4 linked regions of the Elephas maximus indicus genome follow. The protein of the gene in region 1 interacts with the protein of each later gene in a pairwise test. Links are inferred from orthologs where the notes say so. Each region holds a gene or a part of one and is shown on either strand. Other genes may lie near its edges.

What was found.
Region 2: the proteins of ATXN1 (region 1) and ZSCAN1 interact in binary tests that used the Homo sapiens proteins (3 or more experiments, as listed by UniProt). The link is inferred for Elephas maximus indicus from reciprocal best matches to the Homo sapiens genes ATXN1 and ZSCAN1.
Region 3: the proteins of ATXN1 (region 1) and AHDC1 interact in binary tests that used the Homo sapiens proteins (3 or more experiments, as listed by UniProt). The link is inferred for Elephas maximus indicus from reciprocal best matches to the Homo sapiens genes ATXN1 and AHDC1.
Region 4: the proteins of ATXN1 (region 1) and SLC51A interact in binary tests that used the Homo sapiens proteins (3 or more experiments, as listed by UniProt). The link is inferred for Elephas maximus indicus from reciprocal best matches to the Homo sapiens genes ATXN1 and SLC51A.

Annotation. Positions count from the first base shown.
Region 1 is NC_064819.1:62,016,215-62,023,499, forward strand, and holds the start of ATXN1 (ataxin-1), read right to left. Parts: upstream 3,016-7,285; 5' UTR 2,821-3,015; intron 1-2,820. UniProt on the Homo sapiens protein: Chromatin-binding factor that repress Notch signaling in the absence of Notch intracellular domain by acting as a CBF1 corepressor. Binds to the HEY promoter and might assist, along with NCOR2, RBPJ-mediated repression. Binds RNA in vitro.
Region 2 is NC_064829.1:87,803,507-87,811,117, forward strand, and holds the start of ZSCAN1 (zinc finger and SCAN domain-containing protein 1), read right to left. Parts: upstream 3,012-7,611; coding exon 2,606-3,011; intron 1-2,605. UniProt on the Homo sapiens protein: May be involved in transcriptional regulation.
Region 3 is NC_064821.1:67,894,553-67,901,611, forward strand, and holds the start of AHDC1 (transcription factor Gibbin), read right to left. Parts: upstream 3,009-7,059; 5' UTR 2,986-3,008; intron 2,553-2,985; 5' UTR 2,479-2,552; coding exon 1-2,478. Other genes in the region: uncharacterized protein LOC126071285, read right to left, coding at 3,009-3,023, 3,177-3,288. UniProt on the Homo sapiens protein: Transcription factor required for the proper patterning of the epidermis, which plays a key role in early epithelial morphogenesis. Directly binds promoter and enhancer regions and acts by maintaining local enhancer-promoter chromatin architecture.
Region 4 is NC_064819.1:17,788,109-17,795,193, reverse strand, and holds the start of SLC51A (organic solute transporter subunit alpha), read right to left. Parts: upstream 3,009-7,085; 5' UTR 2,837-3,008; coding exon 2,799-2,836; intron 2,135-2,798; coding exon 2,040-2,134; intron 1-2,039. UniProt on the Homo sapiens protein: Essential component of the Ost-alpha/Ost-beta complex, a heterodimer that acts as the intestinal basolateral transporter responsible for bile acid export from enterocytes into portal blood. Efficiently transports the major species of bile acids (taurocholate).

The sequences.
Region 1 (7,285 bases):
ACTGTCAGGCTCCTTTCATTGTCTGGGGTGATACATTTACATACTGCACCCGGTAAGAACAGATTCTTGGTCTCTCTTACAAAAGTTGAGTAACTAGAAACCTAATTTAGTGTCTCCCGTCCAAATTACTGAAAGAAGATGCAGTTGAACTAGTGAAGTCTCTTGTCTGGCTTGGGCAGCACAAACACTGTGCATAAAACACTTGGAGTAGTCCAGGCACAAGACAAACCCACCTGAATGGACGAGGAACACTGTCTGTTGCCATGGCAGCCTGATCTAATTACATGACTGATCAGGGCTGGCCTAAGTGCAGGAAAACCTACACCACTGACATGTATCTACATGATGAGAAAGACAGGCAGTCAGGAGGTTCAGGGGAGCCCTTCGACCTCTGCTTTAAGTGGAAGAGACTGGCATCCAAGGCCCTTCACTTCCGGAGCTGCTGAAACACTGACCGACGCATGCACACTTCCAGGGCAATCAGCGATGAAGCGGCACAGCATTCGCCGTCCTGGCGCAATCCCTTTCCGAGAGTTCATATGCAGGATTTCTCCTCCTTCTCTCTGGTAGTTTTCTCGGGTATAAACTTCATTCCCAAGAAGCACAAGTACCAAACTACCTTTACCCATCAAATAAACCAGAGGGTGGGATTAGCAGGGGCTTCTAGGAACTGCAGGTCTCCTCGGAAACCCAAATAGAAAAGGCTTAGCTCACCTTTGTGAAAAAAGTTAACTAGCATGACTAAAAATAACCATCAAGTAACTACCCACTGCTGTGTGCAACATGTTAACGATGATGTTTCAATATTAAGAACAGCCTGCATTACAAAACATGAATGTCATTGAGATGTGACTACTAGATTGCCGAAGGAGAACCTATTTGCATACACACATTCCCCTGCATGCACGACCGGATTTGCAAGGAATTGCCACTCTAAGGCATTAGTTTTTATTCTGTGGGTGTAATAGGGTCTTCTAATTTTGCTAATTGTATCCTGTGGATCTCACAAGGAAGCTAAGAATCTCTTCGGGGACAGAACCAGTTTGGAGGAGTCCCTACTGCACAGCATACGGTAAACAAAATAAAAATAGCTTGCCGTTCTTGTTAGCCACCTCGCGCATTATATAACCAGCTTCCGACTGGCTTTTTCCCCCCTTGCCATTACTACTCTTCAGCAATTCTCCAATCTTCCAAAGTATTTATATTACCCTCTTATCTGTAGGATTATATACCAAGAAAGCAAAACAAAACAGAGCAGCCACGGGTATGCACGAACCCCACCGTCCTTAGAAATTGTGATTTTTTTTTGTTTTCTGGCACAATCTCGATCACTACCCTACGCCCACCCCCCACTGAGGTTCTTGCTTAATCTCCCTAAAAAACCTGAATTGTTTCAACGCTTCCAGTCAGCCCCCTACGTGGTCTGAAATAAAATGAAAGCACAAGCCACGGAGTTTAGGAAGGCGGCCTGGGGGTGGGAGGGGGAGGGGGGCTGAGGAGGGGTCTGGGCGCTGTAGAGTCAGCCAAGTGGCCACCGAGGGCCCCCACCCCATGGCGACGTCCCTCCTTCCCCTCGGCGAGCGCGCGCATACACACACGCACACACTCACAACCCGCTCCGACACCGCCTCACCTCTCTCTCCGCCCGGCCGGCCCCTTCCCTGCCCTCTGCGGGACCCGCCTGCGCGCAGCACTGGAACCACGTAGGAGGCGGCGGCCGCCGCGGGAATGGCAGAGTCTCTGGCCCGGCCCGGCCTAGAGTGAACGAGCAGCGGGGCTCCGGGGCGCATCCCAAACGCCGCAGCACCTCCTCCTCCGCCTCCTCCTCCCCCTTCTCCTCCTCCCGGCTTCATTCACCCGCCCGGCAGCCGTGCAGCCGTTCACTCCCCGCGTAGGGCAGCGCCTGCCGGGGCTCCTCCGCTCCTGCCGCGGGCGCTGGCGGGGGCGCCGGCGGGCCCCAGGGTGCTCACGGGCTCCCGGCTCCAGGCAGCAGCGGCGGCTGCACATGATCAGGAAGCAGTGGCACTAACAGGGCGGCGGCAGCCAGGGCCGCCACCGCCAGCCGCACTCCCGGCACCCGCACAACCGCTCCCCGCCCGGTCCCTGCGGCCACCTCTCCGCGCCCCCCGTGCGCCCCCTCCCTGCGCCCGGACGTGCGCAAAGTCCTGATCCGGCTGCCAGCGCGGCCGCAGCCGAAAAACCGGCAAGGCCGGCCTCCGCCAGGAGACCCCAGCCCCGGAGAGCGGAGGCCAGACGGCCACCCGCGGGGAAGCCCAGTCCTCCCCGAGACCCACTCGCTCTCGCAGCCCCTTGCGGGGACGACGAGTGGGGAGGGGGCCGCGCGACCCCCCAGCGGCTACTGTCTCCCCCTGCGCCACCCCGAGGGAGGACATGGCTCTCTGCACTCGCGGCGGGACCAGCAGCCGCCGGTGCGGGGCGCCACCGCTGTCCCTACCCGCGCCCCCCGCCCGGGCGCGCCCCCTCGCCCGGCGGGCGCTCACCCTTCCCACCCGGGCCCGGCTGCCCTACTGCTGGCTCTTCACTGCGCCGAGAGTGGGGGTGTCGGCCCCCGGGAGGCTGGAGCCGGGAAAGGTTGTATGTACACGCACAACACAACACGACGCGTCGGTTTCCTTTGCTCCTCTTCCAGCTGTTCGCCGTGCCGCCGTTTGGGGTTTGGGGTTTGTTTGCTGGTTGTTGCTTTTGCCCACCTCGGGAGAGCGGGGCGGGAGGGGGGAGGATTTTAATCTAAATCAGGGGAGGAGATGGGGGAGGGGGGAGAGAAAGAATCAGAGGAGGAAAAAAAAAATAGCCACTTACTGTAAAGTGTAAAAGAATCTGGGGTTGCGTGGGGAAGGGGGGGCAGAGGGAGAGAAACAATGTCTTGAGGCTGCTGGTGCTCGGGCTGCTGCTCCACGGGGCTTGTTTTGGATCCCCCTGCAGTGAAACAGGTCCTGTACGGCTCCGCCACTGTAGTAGAAATGATGTCTGCGGTATACTCTGTTCTCTCCTCCTCCTCCTCCCGCTCCCCTCCCCTCCCTCCTCCCTCCTCTCGCCCGCCCGCCCTCCCTCCTCGCTCGCTCGCTCGCTCCAGTATGTAAATGTGTAATAGAAGCCAAATATGGAGCAGTTGGCTGCCGCCGCCGCAGCTCAAGGATCCTACTTCACGGGGGGAGGGGGGCGGGCACCCTTTGGCAGGCGGCCCGGAGAGCCGCACGGATCCCGGCGCGCGGACGGCGCGGCGACCCGCCCGCTCCCTTAACCCTTCGGTGCGCGCCCGCCCGGGGACCGCCGACCCCGGGTAGGCGGGCTCGCTTCCGCCGCGGGACCGGCCGCCACTTCCCATCCCGAAAGTGCGGCTGGCGCGGGAGGGCGACGCGCGGGCCGGAGGAGACGGTTCCTTCCAGGTTTGAGAAAGGGGCGAAGAGCTGAGGCGATGAGGTCATTTTAGCGGTGACCGGTCGGGCCTCGCGCGACTCCCCAGGTCCCAGCACCTAATTGGAGGGGAGAGAGCGACAGCGGGGTGCAACTCAGGCACCGTGGGGTACCCTCCGAGGGGTGTCAGGCTTCGGCTCGGCGATAACGAGATACCCAAGGGGGAGGGGAGGTTGGCCAGTTCTAATCCCGACGTGCCCTTCGTCCCGGGCACTAAGAGAAGGAAGCATCTAGGAGCGCGGACTGTGATAATCCTCCAGCTGGTTTAGCTTCGGCGTTCCGGAACCCAGACGCTGGGGCCGCGGGGACTGCCTTTGCCTGCAACTCGGGAAAGTTTGCAGGGTCTCCCCGAATGCACATGCACCCTCACCTTCACTGGCTGGGAAAGCTGGTGACCTCCCTGCGCTTCTTTCTCTTTCTGCGGGTCCGGAAATCTGCTTCGGATATTCAACTCCTCAGCTCTAGTCTTGATAGACGACCCGCACACTCCGCTCGCAGCTAATTCGGGATCATTAATTTAATCGGAAATGAGGTAACCAGTGTTGGAGATAGAGAAAGCAAACCGAGCATCAAATGGCAGCTCCCTTGAATCCACGCTGTAGTACTTCCTCTGGACTCAATTTTGAAGTGCGGTTCTCAGCTTCCCACTACCCGGTCCCCTCCGCATGTACCCCCTTCCAGGTGTTAGCTCGATGGGAAGGACTCTTCTTTGGAGCGGTGCACCTTGCCAACAGGTGTGGCACCTGGAGGAAGAGAAGGCACATCCTGCTCGAGAAGCTCAGTGCTGCGTTCTCCTCGCTGCATAGAATTCTGGAAGACCAGTAGGTGTCGAGCCAGCATTTGACCTCCTTCAGGTGCTTAGAACGAGTGTCTAGACACACGATGCCTCCACGTCAGTTTCTCTATGGAAGCCACCACTGTCGTGGCTGTATTTGATACAGTAAGCCGTATTGGAGAGGCCTTTTGGCTGGGTTTACTTATGACCTAACGGTTAGTCACCAACTGAAGCAGGATACAGAATTACCAGGAGAAATGTGTCAGCTTTTAAATAACAGTATTGTAGAGCCTATGTGCTTCAGAAATAAAAATAAGTATACTAAATAGGAAGGTGTCGAGCCCCGGAAATAATTTTTTTTCTCACATTTTGAAACTCTAAAAACATCTACATGGCTATTTAAATAGAGCTACTACTACTGTTCACTTTTACTCATTTCTACAACTTTCTTTTCCTTTTTTTTTTTTTTTTTTTCATTTAAAAATCAATGATGGCTACGGTTTAAACCTCGGGTTGGCTTAAAGTGACATAGTCGGTCTCATTACAGCCTCTAGTGGACAGTTAAAATCAGTTTCCTGCAAAAGCTCTCCTTGGTTTTGTTTTCACTGACAAGCTTCCTCAAGGTGAAGGCTAATATCACAGAACATAACCAGGTAATATCTTTTCCCATACTTGGCAAAGCCGACTTCTGAACCAAGCAGGGGCTTGCTGGCCTTGCACCAAGAAGACGTATGCCTTGTGCTGCAGGTATTATTATTATTGCTGGCCTGTGAATAAACAGAGAGCTTCTGTGATTCATTTCAGTTTCAGACAGCTTTCATAAAAACTAAATTCATCTAAAATATTTTTATAACAGAAAATATTGGTTGCCATGTTTTTGGCTTAACTGAGATGTTTTTATTCCAAGTCATACTCTGCAGACTGTCCAATCCACCTCCACTCTGTTTTTAGACATCTTACATTTAGAGAATTTGCAGTTAAAAAAAAAAAAAGCTAATATTTTCATTATTACATTGACATAAGCAGTTAGTTTCTGTTACGTTAACAGCTTTAAACAAATTAAAACATATAATTCAGATCAGAGCTAGTCAATGAATTTAAATGTTCCCCCAAGGAAGCTAAATATGTATATTACCCAAGCAGTAAAAACAATAAGAAATGTGTCATTTACTTTCTTAGCCATTAAGAGTAAAGCCATAAACTGTGACTAAAATCTGTAACTATTTCTTTAATGTCCAAAGTATACTCATCATACAGTTTTATTACCTTTCCTACTGAAATGTTTTCAGATGGTAAAAATATTAAAATATGTACCATTGCAAATCACAAAAGACAAAACAAAACCTGTTGCCGTGGAGTGGATTCTGACTCCTAGTGACTCTACAGGACAGGGTAGAACTGCCCCACGGGGTTTCCAAGGAACGCCTGGTGAATTCGAACTGCCAACTTTTTGGTTAGCAGCTGTAGCTCTTAACCACTAGGCCATCAGAGTTTCTGTCACATATAATAGGCTTATGCAAATAAAACCTCTTAGGAGCTGAATGAAAGAAGAGCAGGGTTTTCAAGAAGCCAGTAGGCAAATAGATAGTACTAGAGTTCACTATGGAAGTCCTGGTGGTCTAGTGGTTAACAGCTATGGCTGCAAATCAAAAGGTCAGCAGTTTGAACCCATCAGCTGCTCCTTGGTAAATCCTACAGGGCAGCTCTACCCCACCCTACAGGATTGCTATGAGTAGGAGTCAACTCAAAGGCAACGGTTTCATTTTTTTTTTTAAAATAAGCCTAGTCATAAACGTGAGATTATCTTGGTAGGAGCTAAGTCAACCTTTGAAATGAAAAGAAACAGAAATAAGGCCTGCTGAGCCTAACTGTGGAGCCCTGGTGGCACAGTGGTTAAGAGATCCGCTGCCAACCCAAAGGTTGGCAGTTCAAATCCACCAACCACTCCTTGGAAACCCTATGGGACAATTCTATTTTGTCTTATAGGGTCGCTATGAGTCGAGATCGACTCCAAGGCAACGGTTTGAGCCTAACTGCCTAAACTGTGTTCCAGAATGCGTAAATACCATGAACAAATAAATTCCTCAGATCTATTTCACTGCTTTGATAACATCACTTTTGACAGTTTAAAAAGGGCTATCAGGTGTATATTATATATATGGCCATCATTAATATCCTTGCTTCTTAAAATGTGGTCCCAGGAGCAGCAACAGCAGCATCTGGGAGCTTTATAGACATTCAGAATGGAGGGTTCCACCCAGACCTACTGAATCAAAAATCTGCATTTTAATAAGATCCCTGGGGAGGGTTCCTAAGCACTTTATACTGTGAGGAACACTGGTCTGTACTACAGGGCTAAGACAGGATGAATTTGGCTAAAGGTGCAGATCTTAATTCTTCTATATATTCCTTTTGTATTCCCTCCCCCTTTTATTAATTCGTGCATTTTACTTTAAAAATTATTACATGGTATGCTTTGGACAAAACATTTCAGAAGAGCCCTGATTTATGCACAAATCCGTATCATCATTGCCGAAACAGAGCACTCTGTTAAGGAATGTACTGAGGTCTCCAACGTGAACGTTTTCTTTGTGGCAGCAAGAGGGAGCACAAGAGTGGTTAACAGAACAAGTGTACGTCCTCCCAGTCACGGCAGTTTTTAATTGTAGTGTATGTTTTTATTGGGAGTAGCTTGCTATGTAGTTAAAAACAAAGCAAAACATGCAAACAAAAACGGCTTACCAGATTATAACAATATCATAATTGAACAGATTGGTGGGGTCTCTTCAGGTTTAACGGGATATAGACATTCTTATTTAGAGTTTTAGGCTTCAATTTTTAAAAGAAAGTGGATTTCAAAAGTCGTGCTGGTAATAGGGAACCCAAGATTGAGAAGGGAGAGTGTTGACACTCGTAGAGTTGTTAATGTCATAAAACAATATGTGTACTGTTTAATACGAAGCTAGTTTGTTCTGTAAACCTTCATCTAAAGTACAATCAAAAAATAAATTAAAAGAAAAAAAGTCATACTCTCAAAGCCACTTCTTAGGGTTTCCCTGGTCAAAAATAAAGATA
Region 2 (7,611 bases), on another chromosome or scaffold:
AATAATCTCTCAGTTAAATTTTATCGGATACCAGGAAGAATGAAGCCGAGATGACTTTTGGCGAACCTGACTAAATCAGGTGGACATGTGCAGCAGGCCGGAATGACTGGTACTAAGTAACCTCACCCTGAGGGCTCTTTGTCCTATTGAAGGGCTAATTGTTAGTGACTGTTTTGGACTGGTAAAATGATTGGGAGGAGGAAGTTAGCCTCCACCAAGTGCCCAGAGGCACCCTACTCCTCCAGCAAGCCTCCGGAGCCTGAAGGCACTCATCTTTCTCACTCAGTCAGCTGGGAAGCCCACCACACCATCTCCTGCCAGTCTCCTGGTTCTGCTGCTGTTGTTTCTCTGCCACTGCTTCTTGCCAAGGCTGACTGGCAGAGTGGGGTGTCTTGGAGTATTTATCAGCAGAGCTAAAAGTGCTTTTTAACACTTGCCTGTGCAGGGCAGAGGCCGAGGGGCCACAGAGAGGCGTGCTTGCAAGCACAGGTGAGAAGAGGTTGTCCTGATGGAAGATCTGTATCCTGAGCATTCCTGAACCTGAACTGTTACCTGTTCCTTCCCTAATAAGCCCCGTAAATGTGAGTATGGTCTGAGATCTGTGTGGCCACTGCAACAAATTATCGAACTCAGCAGAGAAATAGACAATGCCCTGGGAGGGATGCTGAGTGTCAGAATTGGGAAAGACGATGGGGAGAGGAAGCATGTCTGACCTCTACAGAGTAGGAATCAGCCTTGGGCTGTTGATCTTGATTCTCCGTCCCCCTTGTAAAAATGGAGGAGGTCAGGTGATGCCCCTGTTATGCCATTTTTGTACATAATTAACATAATATATTAATATGTTATATTATTATTATAGCCATAAGATGAATGAAGTATTGATGCATGCTGCTACATAGATGAACCTTGAAAACGTTGCTGCTGTTGTTAGTTGCCATCGAGTCTATTCCAACTCACAAAATGTGGCCTTTTGAGTCTGGCTTCTTTCATTGAACATAATGTTTTCAAAGGAATCCTTGGGTGGTGTAAGCAGTTAAGCACTCAACTACTAGCCTAAAGTATGGTGGTTTTGACACAGCCAGAGGCACCTCAGAAGACAGGCCTGGCAATCCGCTTCTGAAAGGTCATAGTTTTGAAAACCCTAAGCAGCAGTTCTACTCATGCATGCCACATTTCGTGGATTCCATTGACGTGAAATGCCCAGGTTTGGTAAATCCGTAGAGACAGACAGTAGATTAGTGGTTGTCAGGGGCTGGGCGAAGGGAGGAATGGGGAGTGTCTGCTAATGGGTATGAAGTTGGGGTTTCTTTTGGGGATGGTGAAAATGTTCTGGAATTAGGCTGTGGTGTGGTTATGGTTGCATAACTGTGGATATACTAAAAACTACTGACTTGAATTTTATAGCATGTGAATTATATTTCAATAAGACTATTATTAAAAAAAAAAAAGCAAACAGAAATAATCTGATGTAGTGATGTCACCAAAAATAGCACAATAGGGAACTCCAACGTTCCGATGCCTCTACTAAAGCAATGACAAAATGGTCAGAAGTAACTTCTTCTAATGAAAAACTTACACAGTCAGAGAAGTGTTTAATGAATAAAGAAGCTACTAAATTTTGGTGAATTCTCAATGGAATCCAGAATTTCTGGAGCCATTGAGGCTGCATGAACCCTTAAAATATTGCCCTGAAATAATATTTAAACTTTAAACCTCAAACCAAAACTTTTCTTGGAAGTCCACTTTGAACCAAACAACTAAACCAAACCAAACTCATCGCTGTCAAGTTGATTCTGACTCACAGCCACCCCTTGGGTGCAGAGTAGAATGGTGCTCCACAGGGTCTTCAAGGCTGTGACCTTTCTGAGGCACCTCTGAGTGGGTTCGAGCTGCCAACCTTTCAGCTAATAGTTGATTATGATTATAATTAACATAATATGTTATGCTATATTATTATATTATTATTATAGCCATAAAAAAGAATGAAGTATTGATGTTACCACGCAGATGAACTACCAGGGACCCCCATTTGGCCTAACTTAATATTGTTAATATGGTGGTTAGGATTGAATTGTGTCCCCCCAAAATGTGTTATATACCCTAACCCCTATACTTATGGTTATAATCCCATTTGGGAATGGGTTTTCTTTGTTATGTTAATGAGACGGTACTAGTGTAGGGTACGTTTTAAGTCAATCTCTTTTGAGATATAAAAAGAGTAGATTAAGCTCAACCAAGCAAGGAGAGATGGGGGAAGATAGATGCCATGCCACATGAAGATTACGAAGGAGCTGAGGAACGCTGGGCCTACAGATACTGAGAAGAGACAAGGAACTTCCCTCTGAGCCGACAGAGAGAAAAAACCTTCCCCTAGAGCCGGCATCCTGAATTCAGACTTCTAGCCTCCTAAACTGTAAGAAAACAAATTTCTGTTTGTTAAAGCCACCCACTTTTGGTATTTCTGTTATAGCAGCACTAGAGAACTAAGACAGATGGCAATACTACCCAAGGGCCACCTGCAGGAAAGACGCGGGGCTCTCATCTGGTATGAACCCAAACCCCAGCTCCTACTTCCTCCTGGAGCCACTTGCCTTTGGGGGTCAGCCAGTCCCTGGGGACCACCGAGCCTGTGGCTTCTTACATTCCTGCTGGAACATCTGCATGAGGTCTTCCACCAGGCTGGTGGCCTCCCTGCAGGTTTGGGGGCCCTGTGACTGCACCCAGGACCTCATCTTGCAGGTCAGCGAGCTCAGGAACTGCTCCAGCACCAGCAGTTCCAGGATCTGCTCCTTGGAGCAAGTATCGGGCCACAGCCACAGGTGGCAGAGTGTCCAGAGCTGCCTCAGTGCCTGCTGCAGCCCAGTCACCGTGCAATACTTGAACTGCCGGAAGCATAAGCGCCAGGCTTCTGCATCCCCGGGGCTGGCAGGCCGCACTGCCCCATCCTTCTCACTTGGTGCTGGGGTCTGGGTGCTCCTGCAAGAGGCAAAGCCTCTCGCCAGTGGAAGCATCTCTCTGACCACAGGGCATGTGGCCTCGATGGCTCTGAACAAGCACAGGCAGCAGTCAGGAGCCTGCAGAGAGGTGCCAGTGCAGAGAGACCACATCACAAGGTGGGTAACCTTGCTCTAGAACCTCTCAGTACCCTACGTTTTTGCCCCCCCCGCCAAGGCCCCCAGGGACTGAGCCAGGCCCTGTCCGCATCACTCCCATCTAACCTGGCCATGGACAAGCCAGTGGCCACCGCATGGCCTTTGCACTTGCTTTTCATTCCAGCTCAGATGTCACCACTGCAGGAAGAGCTTCCTCTACGTGGCCGCTTGATTGTCATCCTTGTCCCTCCACCCTCATAGTGCGCCCATCTCTTCTGAACACATTTTATTTCATTACTCGTTTAGTATCTCCTCCTCCTCAGTTCATCATTGAACAAACATTTATGAGGAGCTGGGGACAATATGGAGCCCTGGTGGCACAGCAGTGAAATGTTTGTTGGCTAAGCAAAAGGATGGCAGTTTGAATCCACCAGCTGCTCCTTGGAAACCCTAGGGAGAAGTTCTACTCCGTCCTGTAGGGTTGCTATGAGTTGGAATTGACTCGACAGCAACGAGTTTGGCTTTTTTAAAGGGGGGACAATATGGACATTGTTCTCAAAGAATTGCGATTGTGGTTTTTAACCTGATATTACCCAAGGGCTATGCCGTGACATGTGGAGTAGCAACGCTTACCCATGGAACTTTCTGTATAGGTAACAATGTGCTCCATCTGCACTGCCCCATCCGAGCACTTGAATGAGGAGCTGGATTTTCAATTTTACTTAATTTGAAAATAGCCACTCGTGCCATGTAAGGGGCAATGCAATAGAGGCCTCCTGCCCCCTGCCCCTGGGGTATTATTGCTGCTGTCTTCCTTGCCTCATGTGCCAAGTTGGGGCTGATGATGGGAGCAGCAAGGAGGGCAAGGAGGGGCTGGAGGAAAGAGACTTTAAAAGCAGAGGGAAAGCTAGAAGGGCAAGGAAAAATAACCTTTTGTATATTTTCCAAGCTTCCTATGGTGAATATATCACAACCGAACGAAATACGACAAGTTATAAACATAAAATGAGCAGGGATTTTACTACATGCTTATATCCTGTGCTGACAGGGTGGGGTCATTCACTGGTGAGAATATAAGCTGGCACAGAAGCACTGGGTATTGTTAGGTGCCGTCGAGCTGGTTGTTGACTCATAGTGACCCCATGTGACAGAGCAGAACTGCCCTGTAGGGTTTTTCCTGCAGAGCCAATGTATGGGTTCAAACCGCCAGCCTTTTGGTTTGTAGCTGAGTGCTTAACCGTTGCACCACTAGGGCTCCTTAGAAGCACTGGAGCAGCTTGTATACAAAAAACCTTCTGGACGCTGAGAAATTTAGCCAAAATGCAGACAAAGATTTAGGCACCAAAATTTACTATGAAAGGTCCTAATTTACTACGAAAGTACCTAACAGTCAAACCTGGTGGGGTCAATTACTTCCTATTATGTCATGGAGTATTATCCAACTGTTCAAAATAGTGTTAATCCCATTAACACACTCAAGGCAGTGGTGAGGTGCAGGGGAGGAAGCAGGGTGCGGGACAATATATGAGAGTTCTGCAAAGGGGTGCCAGAAAAGAAGCCCCAGGGTTGCAAGCCAAGTGCCTGGTGCTCTTCATACTTCTGTCAATCTCCCCCAAATTGTATAATGACCCCGTGTAACCTTTATCAACAGAAAAAAAAAAAAAAAACCAGAAAATTTTTAGGAAGGACTTTTAACAATATGGGAAAATGCTTATAACAGGTGAAGAGTGGAGGATTCCACGTGAGTTTTCCTTCCTGATGCTTTGGCTCATGTTTTCTACAGTTACCAGGTATGGGTTTTATAATCCGAAAGAAAGGAGAGTTGTTTCAGGCAGAAAGGCCGACTCATGAGGGGGGTGTGTTCTGTAGCCTGTGAGTCTGCTTTCCCCCACCTGCACATTGGGGATTACAAGCAAAAATACTCTCTTGTGCTTTACACTTTCATTTATATGTATTTTTGGAAAAAGAAAAAAAAGCATGTTTTGTAGTTTCATAGGTTGGAGCAGTCCCCTCTGCTCTGGGGTCCCAGAGCTTACATTCCCTGTCTGGTGCTCAGGGAAATGTTCTCTGGAGCTGTAGCCCCTCAGCACTTCTTTGGGAGGCCTGGGACAGCTCCTAGGGTCCATGTGGTAGCTGAAGTCCTTTTGGGAGGTCCTGGGCTGATATAGCAGTTCTACTCTGTCCTATAGGGTCACTATGAGTCAGAATCGACTCCATGAAACAGGTTTGGTTTTGGTTTGATGGTGCAGTGGCTAAAGTGCTTGGCTGCTAACCAAAAGGTTGGCAGTACAAACTCACCAGCCACTCCAACTGTAAAGATTTACAGCTTTAGAAACCTTATGGAAGAGTTCTACTCTGTTCATAGGGTCACTATGAGTTGGAATCGACTCCATTACAGTGTTTTTTTTCTTTTTTTCCTAGGCTGATACGGGGAGTTCTGGGCCCATGTGGAGGTTCTGGGCCAATGTGAGGGGTCCTAGGCTGATATAAGTGGTGCTGGGCTGATGTGGGGAATCCTAGGTTGATGTGGGGGTCCCAGGCCAATGTGTTTGGTCCTGGACCGATGTGGAGTGGGTCTGAGGTCTATATAGAATAGGTTCTGGGGCACACGTAGTATTTGTTGCGGTGGTCCAGGGATACAGGAGATCCACTTTGGGGGGTACCTGGGTTTGGAACCTTGGTGGGTAGTGGTTAAGTGCTATGGCTGCTAACCAAATGGTCAGCCGTTGGAATCCACCAGGCATTCCTTGGAAACTTTATGGGGTAGCTCTACTTTGTCCTATAGGGTTGTTATAAGTCAGAATCGACTCAACAGTAATTAGTTTGGTTTGGTTTTTTGGTTGAATGTCATGTAAAGGGCTCAAAGCTAGGTGGAAGGGCTGGTCTACCTGGAGTAGGCACTAGGGTCTGTGGCAGAGACCTCAAGTTCTATGAAGGAAAGGGGGACCCGTGAGGGCTTGGTAACTGACAGCCAAACCACCTAATAGATGATCAAGAGATAGTCGTTGAATAAATAAATGAGTGTGGGGGAAGAACGGGGGAGTGGAGGTTTGTGGGAGAAAAGGATTGAGCAGGGTTTGCTCACTAAGGAAGCGACAGATAAATGAGTTGGGGAGGTGGGAGATGGGCGAGTGGGCCCAGGGGCTGCAGAGCGGGTGGGAGAAGGGCTGCTGGGGCCGGTTGGAGAGGGATCTGAACGGACAGACCAGCGGGGGCTTTCTACCTCAAGCCGGTGGGGGGTTGCCAAATGGCCCTCGGCCCACTCCCAACATCGACCTCAGCACTCCCTGTACTTTAAGACTCCCCGCATCCGTCAGGGTCCCATGTCAGGAACTCCTCTCTCCCCTCAGGGTCCCGCGAAGGACCTCGGGATGCCGACCCGGGCGCCGCCAGCCTCGGGCAGCGACCACGGCCCAGGGCCTTATTCATCTCCACACGCGTTCTCTACCGTGAGCCCCAGACCGCCCTTGCCGACGTGACGCCCGTCATCCGCCCCTGGGTTCCTCCCTGGGACTGCCAGGCCAACAGGCGCACTGACTGCCAGAAGTACTGACTGCGGACAGACTAAAGCGCACGCAGGGTCTGCTTGGGCCCTCAGTCACGGCGCCACCTTGGCATGTGCAATCACCCGGTAGCTGCCTGATGGACTGCGACTCCCGGAACCCCGCGCTCCATGGGCTGTTGCCTTCGGCCTGTTGGGGAGCGCTGGCCCACCGCCCCACCCAGGAGCCCCGGGATACCCTAGTGGGGGTGGGATCATGACAAACACAGCTGCCCCAACCAATAAAAGCTGCCTGAATTAGGTCGTCTCGCTCCAGAGATTTCTTAGCATTACCCTGGAATTGGGATTTGGTCACCATGGCAACTGTCCACGCTTTTCTGGGAGCGCAGCAAGAATTGGGTGGAGGATGGGACTTCCTGTGCTGCACAGTCCCAATGACAGCTTTAGCTCCCTCTGCTTTACTTCTTTGGTTATACTGAATACTAAGTTAAGTACTAATAGTATATTTTAGTATAAGAATGTTCCAACAGCATATTTGGGACATGTTGCTGTTGGTAGGTGCGGTGGAGTGGGTTCAGATTCATAGTGACCCTGTGTACAACAGAATGAAACGCTGCCTGGCTCTGCACCATCCTTTCAATCACTGTTATGTTTGAGCCCATAGGTTTGAATTTCTCTCCAGTGTATACCTAAAAGTGGAATTTATGGACCATATGGTAATTCTGGAAACCCTGGTGGCTTAGCAGTTAAGAGCTACAGCTGCTACCAAAAGGTCAACAGTTCAAATCCACCTGGCGCTCCTTGGAAACCATATGGGGCAGTTCTACTCTGTCTTGTTCTACTCTTGTCTCTGCTATGAGTTGGAATCGACTCGACAGCAACAGGTTTGGTTTTTGGTTTTATGGTAATTCTGGAGCCTGGTGATACAGTGCTTAAGAGCTTAGGTGCTAAATGTAAGGTCACCAGTTGGAACCCATCAACCACTCTATAGGAGAGAGATGTGGCACTCTGCTTCTG
Region 3 (7,059 bases), on another chromosome or scaffold:
CTGGCTGAGTTCATTCTGGCCCGAGGGTGCACCTGTGCTGTAGTAGCTGCTCCGGCCTGATGCCCCACTCTCCAGCCCAGTGGAGGCAAAGGCTCGGGCCTCAGTCCCCTGGAACCCGCAGTTTCGGCCAGCCTGCCCACCTGGGTGCCCATGGTGAGGAGCCCAGCCACCACCCTTGTCCCCGGCCCACTCAGCGCCCACCTCCCCAAAGCCTGGGCCACTGGGCACCTGTTCTGGGAACAGAGTCCCGTTCTTCCGGGACCGTCTCTTGCGCTTGGGTTTCCCAGTTGTGGCATCCACCTCCCCTCGGCCCCGTTTGCGGGGGTGTCCTAACTCAGTGAGGCCGGGGCCCCCGACCCCAGCAGGTGCCACTGCCACCACTTTCTTTTTCTTGCCGATGCCCTCAAAGAAGTCACTGAAGGAGCATCGGGCTCCCTTGGCTGCATGGCCCCCACCTCGGCCACCAAAACCGCCGGCTTTGCCACCCCGCCGCCGGAAACCCTGCACACGATGCAGGAAGTGTGAGATGCTCTGGGTGTCTGGTGCCTGGTGCACTGACTCAGGCTCACTGGGCGTCCAGCAGCGAGGCGGTGAGCAGCGCCCAGCACACTGGCTCTGGCGGTTCAGGAAGGCCAGCTTCGCGAGGACATCAGAGTACTCGGCCTTGCTATCGTTGGCATCTGCTGCATAGGACGGCTGGGGAGACGCCAGCTTCTGCTTCCGCCGCCGCCGTTTCTTCACCTCTGGCATGGCCATGGTGGCCGCTGTCACGGTGGCCGCCTCAGCTGCCACTACTACTGGCTCCTTGGGCTTGCCGGGACCCAGCAGCAGGTTCTTGGGTGGGCGGCCGCGCTTACGCTTGAGGATAATGGGCATCTCACCAGGTGGGAAGACTACCACCACATTCCGCCCATTGTTCTTCATCTTCAGCAGTGGGGTGGGCTCTGCAGACACACGCAGGCCCAGCTCCTTGCCTTCCACACTCAGACTGCTGCTCAAGGAGGACACCTTGTACGTGGTCTTGTTCCGCCGACCCAATGATACAGGGATTTTAGCCATCTTCACCACCATTCGCCGCACACCCCGGCACTTGTTTTTGCGAGGAGGGACCACCGGGGGATGGGAAGATTCCTGCTCCAGCTCTGGGACCAGGCCTGGCCCTGGCAGGGAAGGAGGTGGTGGTGGAGGGGGTTCGGCCAGGGCGGCTACCAGCCCTGTGGGCATAGGCAGGGGCAGCAGGCGGCCCTCAGGTCCAGCGTCTGCCTTGCGCCCCCGTCCGGCCTTCCGCCGGCGACACAGGATCTTTGGCCTATCAGTGCGCCGCAAGGCATACTTGGGGTGACCCTCAGGCCCAGGAGGGCCGTGGGGTGAGCACAAGTCCAGGCGCAAGGGCTCGGCCAGTGGGCAGGGTCCCAAGGTCTGCTGGGGCTCCAGACGGCGGCCTGAGACGTCAAGCAACTTGGGCAGGGGGTCAAGCGCCTGGGGATCGAGCAGTTGTGACTCTAGGGAGTCAGGCAGGCTATCCAGAGCCTGCAGAGCCAGGCCCGGCAGCCCCAGAGGATCAGCAAGAGGTTGCAGGGGTGGCAGCTCCAAAGCTTCCCCAAGCGGCTCTAGGGCCTGTGGGTCCAGGAAGTGGGGCTGGGGGTCCAGGAGCTGAGGCTCTGGCTCAGGTGATGGTGGCTCAAGGGCCTGGGCCTCTAGCAGCTGGGCCTCAGGGCAAGTAAGGGAGGCCAGCTCACTAAGGATGTCAGCATCAGCGAGCTCTGAGTAATCAGGCCCGTCTGGCTCAGGCTCTGGGGGCAGACCAGTGGCCACCGCCGTGGCTCCAGGGCTATGGCCTTGGCCAGGCTGGGGGCTGTCCCTAGGCTCTGGCTCAGGCTCATAGAGGGGGTGGCTGGGTCGCTCAGACTTGGGGTGGGGGGCGGCCCGCTCCTCGGGGCTGCGGATGCTGTTGGCCAGGCTGGGTGAGGAGAAGAAGCTGTACTGTAGGTCGCCGGGTGGCGGGGCGGGTGGGCGGCTGAGCCGGAGACCACCACAGTCCAAGTGCACGCCACTGTGCTGCAGGTCCTGGGAGAGCCGAGTCAGGTCCTTCATGATGTCAATCAGCTGTACCACTGGACGTAGGTTCACCCGCCCGTTGTCCCAACGGTGTCGGGAGTGGGAGCTGCTGCTGTCTCCGGCAGGCGTGGGGCAACGGGCCTGTGAGATGGGACGGGCCGCACGCGGGGGCAGTGGGTCGTCCCCCTTGGGAAGGACTGGTGGGCGCCGGGTGCTGGGGTCCCGGCGTGGGGGTGGGCGTGGATTCTCGGAGAAGGTATGGGCGAAGGCCTTGTCAGGTGGGCTGGCAGGGGGCCGGGTGGGAAGCAAGGGCCGGGGGGTGGGGGGGCCGCCGGGGTAGTACTTGGGCTCCCGGAGGTAGTCAGGAGAGCTGCACACGGCACTGGAAGTCACCACCAGGCCCTGGGGCTTCACACGCATCCTGACCTTGTCCTCCGCGGGCCGCCGGGCGGGGCCGGGGCTGACATGAGGGTGCGAGAAGCCGGGACCAGGACCTGCTGGGCAGGATGGGCAGGAGGTCCCTCACTGAACACCCAAGTCCATCAGCTTCCCATATCCTCATTGAGCCCCTGCCCCCCCAACAAGGTTTTATTCCCTTTACCAAGCTCCAGTCCCCTCCTTAAGCCCAACCCCCTTGTTGAGCCCTTGCCTTTCCCAAACCACCACCTGCTCAATGAACCCCTCACCAGTCCCAGTTCCACTTATTCACAGTTCTCCCTCTTCTAGACCTCGAGCATCTCTGGGCTCAGGGAGAACAGGAACCCCGTGTTGAGAAGGAAACTCCTCAGCAGGGCAGGGTGACCACTCCAGATCAAACTCTGAGAGGGCTCTGCCTCTGCCAGAGGGCCAGGAAGCCCTATTAAGGGACATGGCCTCCCTCTTCCTTGTCTCCATCTCCAGGACTCCAGGAGCACCCAAGCTACTCACCCTCGGCTCTGCCGCCTGGGCTGTCACACTGGAGATCTCTGTGGGCAACAAGACAGGCAACAGAAGTCTGAATACCTCAAATGGTCTGGTGGCCATAGGGCTACCCCACCCACGTGCCCAGTTGCCCGGCCTCCTTCAGGTACCACCCCCAGCTTCCTCTGTGCTCCCCCTAGTATGCACACCTGGCTGACCTGGAAGAGAGGGGGCCTCCAGGCCTGGGGGCTCTGCCAGTCGTTGGCTGTCAGCTGGGGGTGCTGTGGAGCAGCTTTGGCCTGAGCCCAGGCCTCGGGGAGTGGACAGCACCTGGAAAGGACCATGACAGCTCAGGTTTAGTGTGTACCTACTGTGTGCCACACATTGGGGTGGAAGCTGTCCAGGCATCATTTAATTAATTCTTCATACCAATCCTGTGAGGTAGGGGCTATTAATAACCTCATTTTGCAGATGAGGAAATGGAGGCTCAGAGATGAAATAATATCATTTATTCACACACTCACTATTTATGGAGGGTCTACTTTGCAGAAGATCTAGGTAGACAGACTTTTATCAGATAATCATAAATGATTTAATTATTGATGGGATAAGAGCTGCAAAGAAAAGGTGAAGAGGGCCCGAGGTCAGCGATCTAATAATCACACCAGGGATCAACAATACAAGCTCATACTTTGGGGGCACTAGCATGTTATATAGATTATCTCATCTAATCCCACCTGTAAACCTGAGATCAATATGATTATCACCCCTATTTTTACAGATGAGGAAAACATCTACTGCAAGTTGGTAAGTACCAAGAGGGCAAGGATTTCTTTCTCATTCGCTGCTGTATCTCCAAACACCCAGAACAGTACACAGCTCACAGGGGTGCTTCAAAAATAGTTGATGGATGGATGGGTGGATGGATGGATGCAATGGATGGGATGGATGGATGAGATGGATGGATGGATGGGATGGATGGATGGATGAGATGGATGGATGGATGGGATGGATGGATGGATGGACAGAAGACGGTCAGAGCAATTAGACTTGCCTCGTCCTGCGAAGACTTACTTCTTTCCAGACCCAAAAGTGTAACCCAAGAAGGATGCTGAGGGAGGGAGTGAGATAAGAATATGGAAAGGGATACTCTAACCCCTCTTCCACCTTCAACAGAAAGGCTCTAAGCCACCATCCCACCCTCAGCCTTGGTCTGGCCCTTCTCAGAGCCCTCTCTATTTTACCTTCATAGCACTTACCACCACTGTAATCAGTTACTCATGTGACTGGTTGTTTAGTGTGTCTCCCTCTGGGGTGTGGGCTCTTCAGTACCAGGGATCACGTCTGTCTTGCTTCCTGTTGTATCCCTTCGCCCCACTACAGGGCCTGGACTATGGATGCTCCATAAATATCTACCAACTGACTCCCTGAGCTGATCAGGGCAGACCTGGGGTTTAGGCCCAGGCAAGTCTGACTCCCAAGGGAACCTGGGCACTCAGAGCCCTGGCTATTCCCAGGAGTTGGGATCTCGGGGAGTTGGGAGCTGAATGGGCCATGACCACCATGAGGGTATTAAAGGCTGACTCCAACCACTGCCTAGTGCTTGGCCCTGGCCAGACCCCTATGGCCTACCCCTCACAGACACACGTAGACTCTCTCCAGCTGCCATCCTGGCCAGTGTCATTACTCCACAGGAAAGCTTTGGGGCTGACTTGGGGACAGGATGGTGGAAGGGGACACTCCTCCGTTCCCCTTCGGTGGGCAGCAGTTTGCCAACTACAAAGCACCTCCACATATACGACCCACTGAATCTTCACAGCAACCCAGGAGGCATGGGTTATTATCCCCATGTTACAGAGAAAACCGGCTCAGAGCTGTTGTGTAACTTGCCTGAAGTCACATAGCTGCTAGGTAGCAGGATTCCTAATTCTGTCCTAAGTCCAAAGCCTCCTTCCACTCCCAGTTCCTGCAACTCTCCTTCAGTTACTCCTGAAAATGTTCCTTCTAGAGCTGTGGTCTAATTTAAGGCTGGGAGGAACCTTAAAATCATCTAACCCACTGGCTTCCAAACTCTGGGCTGGGGTGGGGGGGTAGTTTGGGGGGAGCTGTGTAACATTCCAGATACCCAGGCCCTAGTCCAGGGGAGTGTGACTCATAGATCTGAATAGACATCTGGGGATCTGTATTTTTAGTTGGCTACCCCGGTGGGGACATTGTTCTAGTGCCATTTTGTGCCCTTCCCATTTTACAGATGAGGAAACTGAGACCAGAAGAAGGAAAGAGACTTTGACCAAGGCCACAGAATGGCATGGGAGGGGCTCTTCTGTTGCTCATCCAGGTGAAGCAGCTTTCTGTCCACTATCCCTTCCCTAGCTTCAGGGTCCAGGTTCGGCTCTTCCTCATCCCACCTACTCATTCATTCAGATTCTGCTCTCTCCCATGCCTGGCTGTGGACTGTGGACTGCCTCCCTCCCCCCAAGGGCCAGGCTCTCAGTGCTCTAAGAACTTCACTCCTGCTCTTGCAGGAAGGACCTCACAAAGAAGGGAAGGGGCTCAGACTGTGGAATCTCCCAGTCTGATTTCTAACAGTATGGGTGACCCATGGCTCTTGAGGCCCTCTTGGAGATGCCCACCAGAGGCTACCATCCCCCTTTATCGAGGGTGGGGCTCATCAAGCCTCCCCCTTCTGAGACATCGCACTTGGGGCCTGAGGGTGTGATCTTGGCAGAAAGGAAAAACTTCCTTTCCAGTGGGTGCTTCTGCTCCACCCACTCGTGAAGACCTTTGGGCATGTCCTCAGGCCAGATCTGGCTGTCTACTGCTCTCTATTTCAGCCTCCAGGATCTGAGGGAGAGCAGTTGGCTCCCCTCCTCACCACAACCCAGCAGCCATACTCTTGGCCCCCTCCCTGATCTGTGAACCAAGTCAAAAGGGCCCTTCTGTCCGTCTCTGTCTGCTTCTGGGTCAGTATGTCTGAACCTGCCCATGGGGACACCAGCTGGCTGGCAGGGGGCTGGGGGCCCCAACCTGCTGTGCACAGTGCCGGGAAGCGCCAGCCCACATCCTTGAGTCCCCAGCCCCACCCTCCCCACTGCGGCTGTGACCACCCCACCCCTTCCCCAGCTGCCTCCCCTCCCCCACCCACAGCCTCCCCAGGGGAGCCTGGCTGCCAGCCCCAGCTCTCACTTCCGGCCTCATGACCCTCTCTCCAGCCTGCACACTCCTCCCCCCACACCATTTCCCTCCCAGCCTGGAGTGAAGTCCCAGGGATGTCCTCAAATGGAAAACACTGCATCAAAGGGGCTCTTACTGCTGCTGTTAGACCTTCCCCATCACTTCCCCTCCTTAGATCTGTGCCCCTCTAGGACTTGCTCACCACCCTTCCCAGTCTCTTCTCCTGCAACCCTTCACCCACTCAACCTGAGTCCAGCCTAGTGTCATAATTTTTAAAAATGGTGAAAATAATAATGGCAGCTGCCACTTATTTAGTATTTAAACAGAGACACAGAGAGGTTAAGTTATGAACTTAAGGACAAACAGCCATGACATGGAAGAGGTGGAGTCTGAATTTAGGTTTGTTGGGCTCCTTTAAACCAAACCGCCTTGTTGCCCAGAGTCAACCGTCTCCTCTGCAGCCTACTCCAACTGTCCTAGTCCCACTAGTTTTAATTTTTGACTTCTAATTTATCCCCCTCCCAGGTTCTAGCCAGCCCCTCCTACTGCGGCCATCAGATGCGCTACCCTCCCTTGCCACTAGGTGTCCCCTTGGAGCCATCGATGCCCCCAAGGGGAGCTAGCCCCGCCCCACCCCCTGGAGCTATCAGTGCCCCCCCCCCCCAGCACAGCACACCCCACCCTACCCTACCCCTGTCCACACAGAGCTCCTTTGTGCAGCCCTCGCCCACCCCCTTCCTCCCCAGAGCAGGGCACCTGGCAAGCAGGTCTGCCCCAGCCCCACCCCCTGCCAGCCCCCTGCCCTGGGTGCCAGGTGTGCGGGCGCCGCCAGCTCTGGCTGGACCCGAGGGTCACCCTGCCGGGCGGCCCTCCCTTCCTCCCTCCGAGGTCACCCAGGGACTGCTTCCCGTCCTGCTCCGCCCCCAT
Region 4 (7,085 bases), about 44 Mb from region 1:
ACTCTTATGTAAATCTCTGGATTAATCCATTAAAAAAAAAAAAACCCTGTAGAAATTTTGATCACAATCACATCACCAGAATAGCTCTTTCCTAAATACCATTTATCTTACGGAACAGCAGTTTAGAAATGAAGAGGGGAAGGGCTTTCACCACCTCCTCCGACAGACTCCCCTTCTCCTGTTTCTGTCCATGTCCTCACCATTAACCAAATCCTCAGAGTCCTCATGAGCATCTATTTTTCGTTCACTGAGCATGTCTAGATGTTTACCACATCCCACCTGCTTTTTCTTTGGATGCCTCTGTTTTCTACCCCTTCCTTCCCTTTCCCTGTCACTGCCCTGGCTCAGACACTAGTCCCTTGTCCTGGACTGGGGCAATTACCTTTAATTTATACCCTTGCTTCTCAAGGCTCATCTTCCCTGCAGTCTATCCTGATTACTGATTAATGGTCCTGAAGGACTACTTCCATCCAGCCCCTCCCAGCTTCACAGCCCTCACTGGCTTCTTGAGTCTGGGGATAAAGCACAACTTCTCTGCCTGACCCCACCTTACCTGCCCAGCCCACTCAATTGTGCCCTGCTCTCCCCCAACCCAGAAACCTTGAATCTGGCCAGATCTAGCCCTCACTGTCTGGGGGAACCCTCCCACTCGGTCTATCTCCAGCCCCACCCCAGGAGTGCCCACCCTCCCCTCCCTACCCTCCAGGCCCTACCCACTCTAATAGCTCCACCTGCAGCAAGGTCCGCCGACTCCAAGACCCATAACGGTCTCCCCACTTTGAACACTTCGTGTTTTTATTTGCACATTTTGCAGCAAAGCAACACGAGTGCAACTTTCACTGCGTAAGGCCAGGTTTTTCAACCTCAGAAATACTGATACCTTGGCCGGAAAATACTTTGTTGTGGGGGGCTGCCCTGTGCTTTGTAGGATGTTTAGCAGCATCCCTGGCCTCTACCCACTAGATGCTACTACCCCTTCCCAGTTGTAGCAACCAGACATTGCCAAATGCCCCTGGGGGACAAAATCACCCCTCAAGGAGGACCACTGGTATAAGTAAAGACGTGTACCACCAGCTGCACTCTCTGAACAGGAGGTTTCTGGGGCCAGGTGTAGCAGCTGCCTACTGTTCCTAACCCACAAAGACCGCAGGGCATCTGTGGACACTCTCTGGCAGTCAGCAATCCCTCTGGACCGGAGTATCTGGAATGAGCCTGAACATAACCCAAGGACAGGGCCCACATCTGCCTCCTAATGCACACTGACCAGGACTATTGCTCAGAGAGCATCTATTCCGTGAGGTAACAACATCAGGAAGGAATCTGGGAAGCGCATGAAGGATGTCACAGAGACACAAACTCCTACCCGTCACATCTCAGTGGTACTGAACCTCGCAGTTAGAAAACAAAAGACGTGAACCCAATCTGCTACAAAGATGCTAGGACCATTGGACTGTCAATGTTCTAGGTGCCCACAGAATAAATCCAGTCTGATCTTAGTCTTCTCACTGGAGAAAACAACTTAAACCAAAAGCAATTCAGTAATAGGATCTGGTTGGCCAACACCGTAAGAACATTTTTAGAGCTTCATCTAAGTTTTAAGAACATTATTCATAAAACATCGCCATGCTAGAATGATATAGGCCTTTTCCCAAGATGGCTGTTGTGGAGTGCCCTGTGGGGCCTGGATCATTTAGGTACCATCTTGAGAGGTGGGTTTACTCTGTGGAGGGCCCTGGAGTCTGTTAAATGCTTCAGGCTGCAGTCTCCCTAATTCGAATAGGCTTCTAAGCTGGGGCTTGTGAAGACCCAACATGTGGGTTCATCTCCTGGGCTAGGTTGTCCTGGCCCCCTTTTGGCTACTGACTCCTTGAGGAGTTGCTCTTGCCCAAAGCCTTAGCCATGAAGGACACTGGGTCAGCATCCTCCTGGGTTCTCCAGGCTGGCCAACCTCAGGACTGGGCTCCCTGGAGCTGTTCTTACTTCTGTCTGGAACTCACGGCTCCTCCTTTCAGTTCCTTTGTGGAGTGCCCCTGACTCACCTCTCAGGAGCTGGGTTGCAGTTGGGGGGAGAGAGAAGCAGGCAGGGGAGATGCTGTAATTGGTTTTCAGTACCTCCAGAAGGTCTGCCGTGTACCTGGGGAGATAGCGGAATTGTGTTCAGAATTGTGAAGCCTGGGGAGTAGAGAGTGGATTGGCAGAAGGCACATGAGTTACTGACACTCAAACATTCCTGGCTTCAGAGGACTTGTCCATTCCCCCTCAGGGTCCTGTTAGAGACAGGCTGGGGCTCAGGCCAGTGGTTAGGAAGGCTACCACTTAGGCCAGGGGCAGGTCTGGCTGAGGTGGCCAAATAGCCCACAGTCAATTCTCTCCACTCCCATGGGGCAGCAGCCCAGGGGCTGGCTGGGGAGAAAGAGCAGGGTCCCAGAGCCAGGCTTCCCTGGCAGTGGGCCCTTAGCACCCGGGATTGCTCCCTAGCTGGTCTATGGCCCTGTGCTTGGCTTGGGAGCCATGGACCGGCTCCCCCTGGGAAAGCCCTCCAAACACTCCACCTCTGGGATCTTTCTCTCCACAGTTTGAAGAGCAAAGGTGAGGCCCTGAGTGAGATGTCACACTGGCCCAACCCCACCGTGTACCTGAAGGCCTAGGGGACAGCCAGCCAGACCATCTTCCATTGGTCTCATTCTGGATGCTGGGAGCCAAAGGCTCTGGGAGGGAGGTGGGGACAGGCCAGAGCATGGGTGCCCCTGTCCCTTAGCAACTGGCTCCTGGCCCGGGGCCCCAGCGCCCTCACTCACCTGGGGTCAAGCTTTATGTGTGTTCTTTCTGGATCCATGTTCTCCCTCTCTGGGCAGGCTCAGAGGAGCCAGGGGGCGGGCAGGGTGGCGGTGCCGGCTGAGTGAGCAGCTCCCGCCTTTCCCGGGGGACTGCTGCAGGCAGGTGGACTGGCCAGTCTTCCCCTCTGGCTCTTTCCCTCCTCGGGTCTCTAGCACTGACAAGTTTCTGTCTCAGAGTTCACACCAAAGGAATTTGATCCTCTCAGCTGGCTGAGCTCCCGGGTTCCTGACTCCTCCCCGCCCCTAGGCGCGGCCCCTCCTGCCGCCAGGCCTGGGACAAATGCCTTTGGCTACCCCTTGCCCCGCCCGCCCCATCCCATATACCCGCTTCTAGGGTGGTTGCACCCAAGACAAAACTCTTCCGGTGCTGGGTTAGGGTGAGGACGAAGTCCTCGTTCCTCCCCCTGTTGTGCCCAGGTCAGCAACCCCAGAGAACCTGGCTGGGGCACCGCCCTTGGCCCCTGGAGATGAGAGACTCAGGGCCAGTCCTGGGCTGTGTCTGGTGTTGGCTTGGTGTAGAAGAGAGGACTGGCTGGAAAGGCCAGGGGAGGCCCAGAGGGGTTCCCCAAAGGCCAGACCCTCACATCTTGTGGATGGGCTTATCTAGCCAAGCAGCTGGGCCTGAAGAGTCGCAAAGGAGAGACTGTATTTAGGAGGCAGAGTTGCAGGGTGTGAGTTCTGAGCATTTTGACAGATTTTGCCAGATTATAACTATTTCATTGGTTGGTAGTTTTGCTCCTCTCTCCAAGTGGATGTAAACCTCTTTGAGTCCGAACACATGCACTACAGACCCCTAGGTTCCTAGCACATACTAAGGGTACCTTAGCATTTGGTTGCATGATTGATAAAATAATAAAATTGCAGCAACAGTAGCAGCTCATGTCTACTGAGCACTGATGGTGTGCCAGGTACTGTAGGAAATACAGTATATTTATCTCATTTAAACTTTATAACCCCTCATATAAGGTAAACATGTTGCTGTAAAGTCGACTGCAACTCATAGTGACCCTATAGGACAGAGTGGAACTGCCCCATATGGTTTCCAAGGAGCACCTGGTGGATTTGAACTGCCGAACTTTTGGTTAGTAGCCATAGCTCTTAACCAATACGCCATCAGGGCTTCCTATATAATAAGGCAAGTACTATCTTTATTCCCATTTTACAGATGAGGAAACTCTGGCTTAGTGAGGCTAAGAAACCAGGTTAGGTAGCCAGGAAGGGCATGGAGAGAGGCAGAAGGGACTGTGTTAGGGGCTCTGTTGCAGTTCAGGTGAAGATTTTAGAGAGTGAAAAATGAACTCATGAGATGGTCGAGAGGGTCCATTCTGGGAAGGCAGTGGAGGCTTCCTGCCCTGGGCTGGTGAGTAGATACAAGCAGAGGAAGTGGTTACCGATGTCGTACCAGAAAGCTTCCCTAATCTTGTCCCAAAACACCGCAAAATACCTGCCAAGGGTCAAGTCGTTGCCTCTCCCAGTTTTACCTTCCTCTTTAAGTACAAATTTTCAGGACGGGACAATGCAATGAACCAGGAGCCTTAGAAGCCCAATTGCCAGCCCAAATGCAAGAGGAGTCAGCAGGTGGGTGGGGAGGGCAGGGTTGCTAAGGCGGAGCTAAGGGCACAAAAAGGAAAGCAAGGGCACTGACCCCTCAGAGGCCAATTACCTCAGCTCAACCTTGACAAAGACACAGACTGACTCAGCTTCCTCAAACCATTTCCACAGGAGCATTCCCTGGGTCATTCGTCTCTAGCCCAGTCTAAGGCCTGGAGCTTAATTGCCCAAAGTCCTGAACCTTAGACTCCCCAGAACCGGTAACAGGGTGCTGAGGATGTTCTCAGAGCTTCTTCAGGACAGAAGCGAGGGGCGGGAGGAAGGAGAGGAGGCTTGAAGAGCAGGAGGGAGTTAGGAGGGGAAGGCAGCTGGGCCAAGACTCAGGGTTTCTGCAGCTGGGCAGCAGAGGCTGGGAGGCCACAGAAGAGAGTGGACAATCCTCAGGGTGGATAGACTGAGGGGGGAAGAACCAGCAGGGTGAGGGTGAGAACGGAGGCTTGAGCACTGCTGGGCATTTCTACCTCACCCAAAGCCACTACATGACTATATTCTATATAGTGTGATACTGCATTGCCCGTGGGTTAACCAAAAACCCAAACCTATTGTCATCGAGTCAATTCTGACTCATTGCAACCCTACAGGACAGAGTAGAACTGCCCCATAGGGTTTCCAAGCAGCGGCTGGTGGATTCAAACTGCTGACCTTTTGGTTAGCAGCCGAGCTCTTTAACCACTGTGCCACCAGAGCTCTGCCCATCAATCCCCTGACTCAAGCCAGCCTATCCATAGCTAAGACTTGGCAAGAGAAGGTGAGCTAGACCAGCCAATCAGATTATTCTCCTGGCAATTTTGGAACTAGGAGACCAAGAAACTGCTAGCTGAAATGCACTGAAGTTTAGAACCAAGAAGAATGAATCAAGTGTTATTCTTTTTTTTTTTTTTGGCCTAATTTTCCCCATAAGATTATATGATAAAATGATGCAACATCTGTCACTTCAGTTTGGGCTTTCTCCATGTAAGGGTCATTTTGAAAATCAAAAAACCCCCCAAAACAGGGGTTTCATCAATTCTCCCCAGGGATCCTCAATTATTTGATACCCGGAGGCCATTCTCTCTTCTTTTAAAAGGTTCTTATTGAGATAAAATTCACAACACAAAATTCAGCAGTTTAATTATTTGAAAGTATACAATTCAGTGGTTTTTAGTATATTCAAAATGTTGTACAACCATCGCCACTACCTAATTCCAGAATATTTTATGACCCAAAAAGAAACCTCATACCTCCTAATTTCCCCAGACCCCCATGCCCTGGGAACCACTAATCTACCTTCTGTCTCTGTAGATTTGCTGGTTCTGGACATTTCAGATAAATGAATCCATATAATATGTGGCCTTTTAGGTCTGGCTGCTTTCAGTTAGCATAATGTTTTCAAGGTTCAGCCATGTTATAGGATGTATCAGTACTTCATTCCTTTTCATGGTTGAATAATATTCCACTGTATGTATATACCACTTCTGTTTATCTGTTCATCAGTTGGTGAACATTTGGGTTGTTTCCACTTTTTGCCTAGTATGAGTCATGCTGCTAGGAACATTTGTGTACAAGTTTTTGTGCAAACGTGTTTTCAGTTCTCTTGGGTTTATACCGTATTTTGTGCAAATAACGCATGTTATATGCTCTTTGCCAACCATGCAACCCCCTTTCACATTATTTTCCCTAGGCACACTATGCATGTTATATGTATGTGGGTGTGTTATTTACATGGGTGCATTACTGCAAAAAAATACGGTACCTGAGTGGAATTGCTGGGTCATATGGTGACTCTATGTTGAGCATTTTGAGGAACTGCCACACTGTTTTCCACAGCTGCTGCTCCATTTTACATCCTCATCAACAATGGATGAGAGTTCCAGTTTCTCCACATCCTTGCCAACACTTGTTATCGCCGCCAACTTTTTTTTATTATTATAGCCATTCTAAAACCCCAAAACCAAATCCATTGCTGTCAAGTCGATTCTGACTCATAGTGACCCCATGTACAACAGGACAAACACTGTCCGGTCCTGTGCCATCATCACAATCGTTGTTATGCTTGAGCCCATCGTTGCAGCTACCGTGGCAATCCATTTCTTTGAGGGTCTTCCTGCTTTTTGCTGACCCTTTACTTCACCAAGCATGAGGTCCTTCTCTAGGGACTGATCCCTCCTGACAACACGTCCAAAGTGTGTGAGACAAGGTCTCGTCATCCTGGCTTCTAAGCAGCATTCTGGCTGTACTTCTTCTAAGGCAGACTAAGCACTGTGCTCTTTCAGTATCTATATGGGATCAAATTGACAACGGCAACTTGAAAGATTAGATAGGAACTCAGGGGGCAGCAAGTTTATGTTAGTGGGGGAGGAACAACTTGGAAAAGGCGAGTGAGAATGGTTGCACAACTCGAACAATGTAATCAGTGCTATTGAATTGTACACGTAGAAACTGTTGAATTGGTGTATGTTTTGCTGTGTATGTTCTCAACAACAACACCAAATTAATAAAATTATGTATTGGGATCTTTGATGTGGAAAGCCCAAGGGAAGTCATTGTTTTGTTTCTCATGGTATCTTTCACAAAATCAATACTGCTGTGCCTAAACACACTTCTTTAACTGTTAAGGAATCTTAAGAGAACTAGAGACCAAACCATCAACAACTGCTT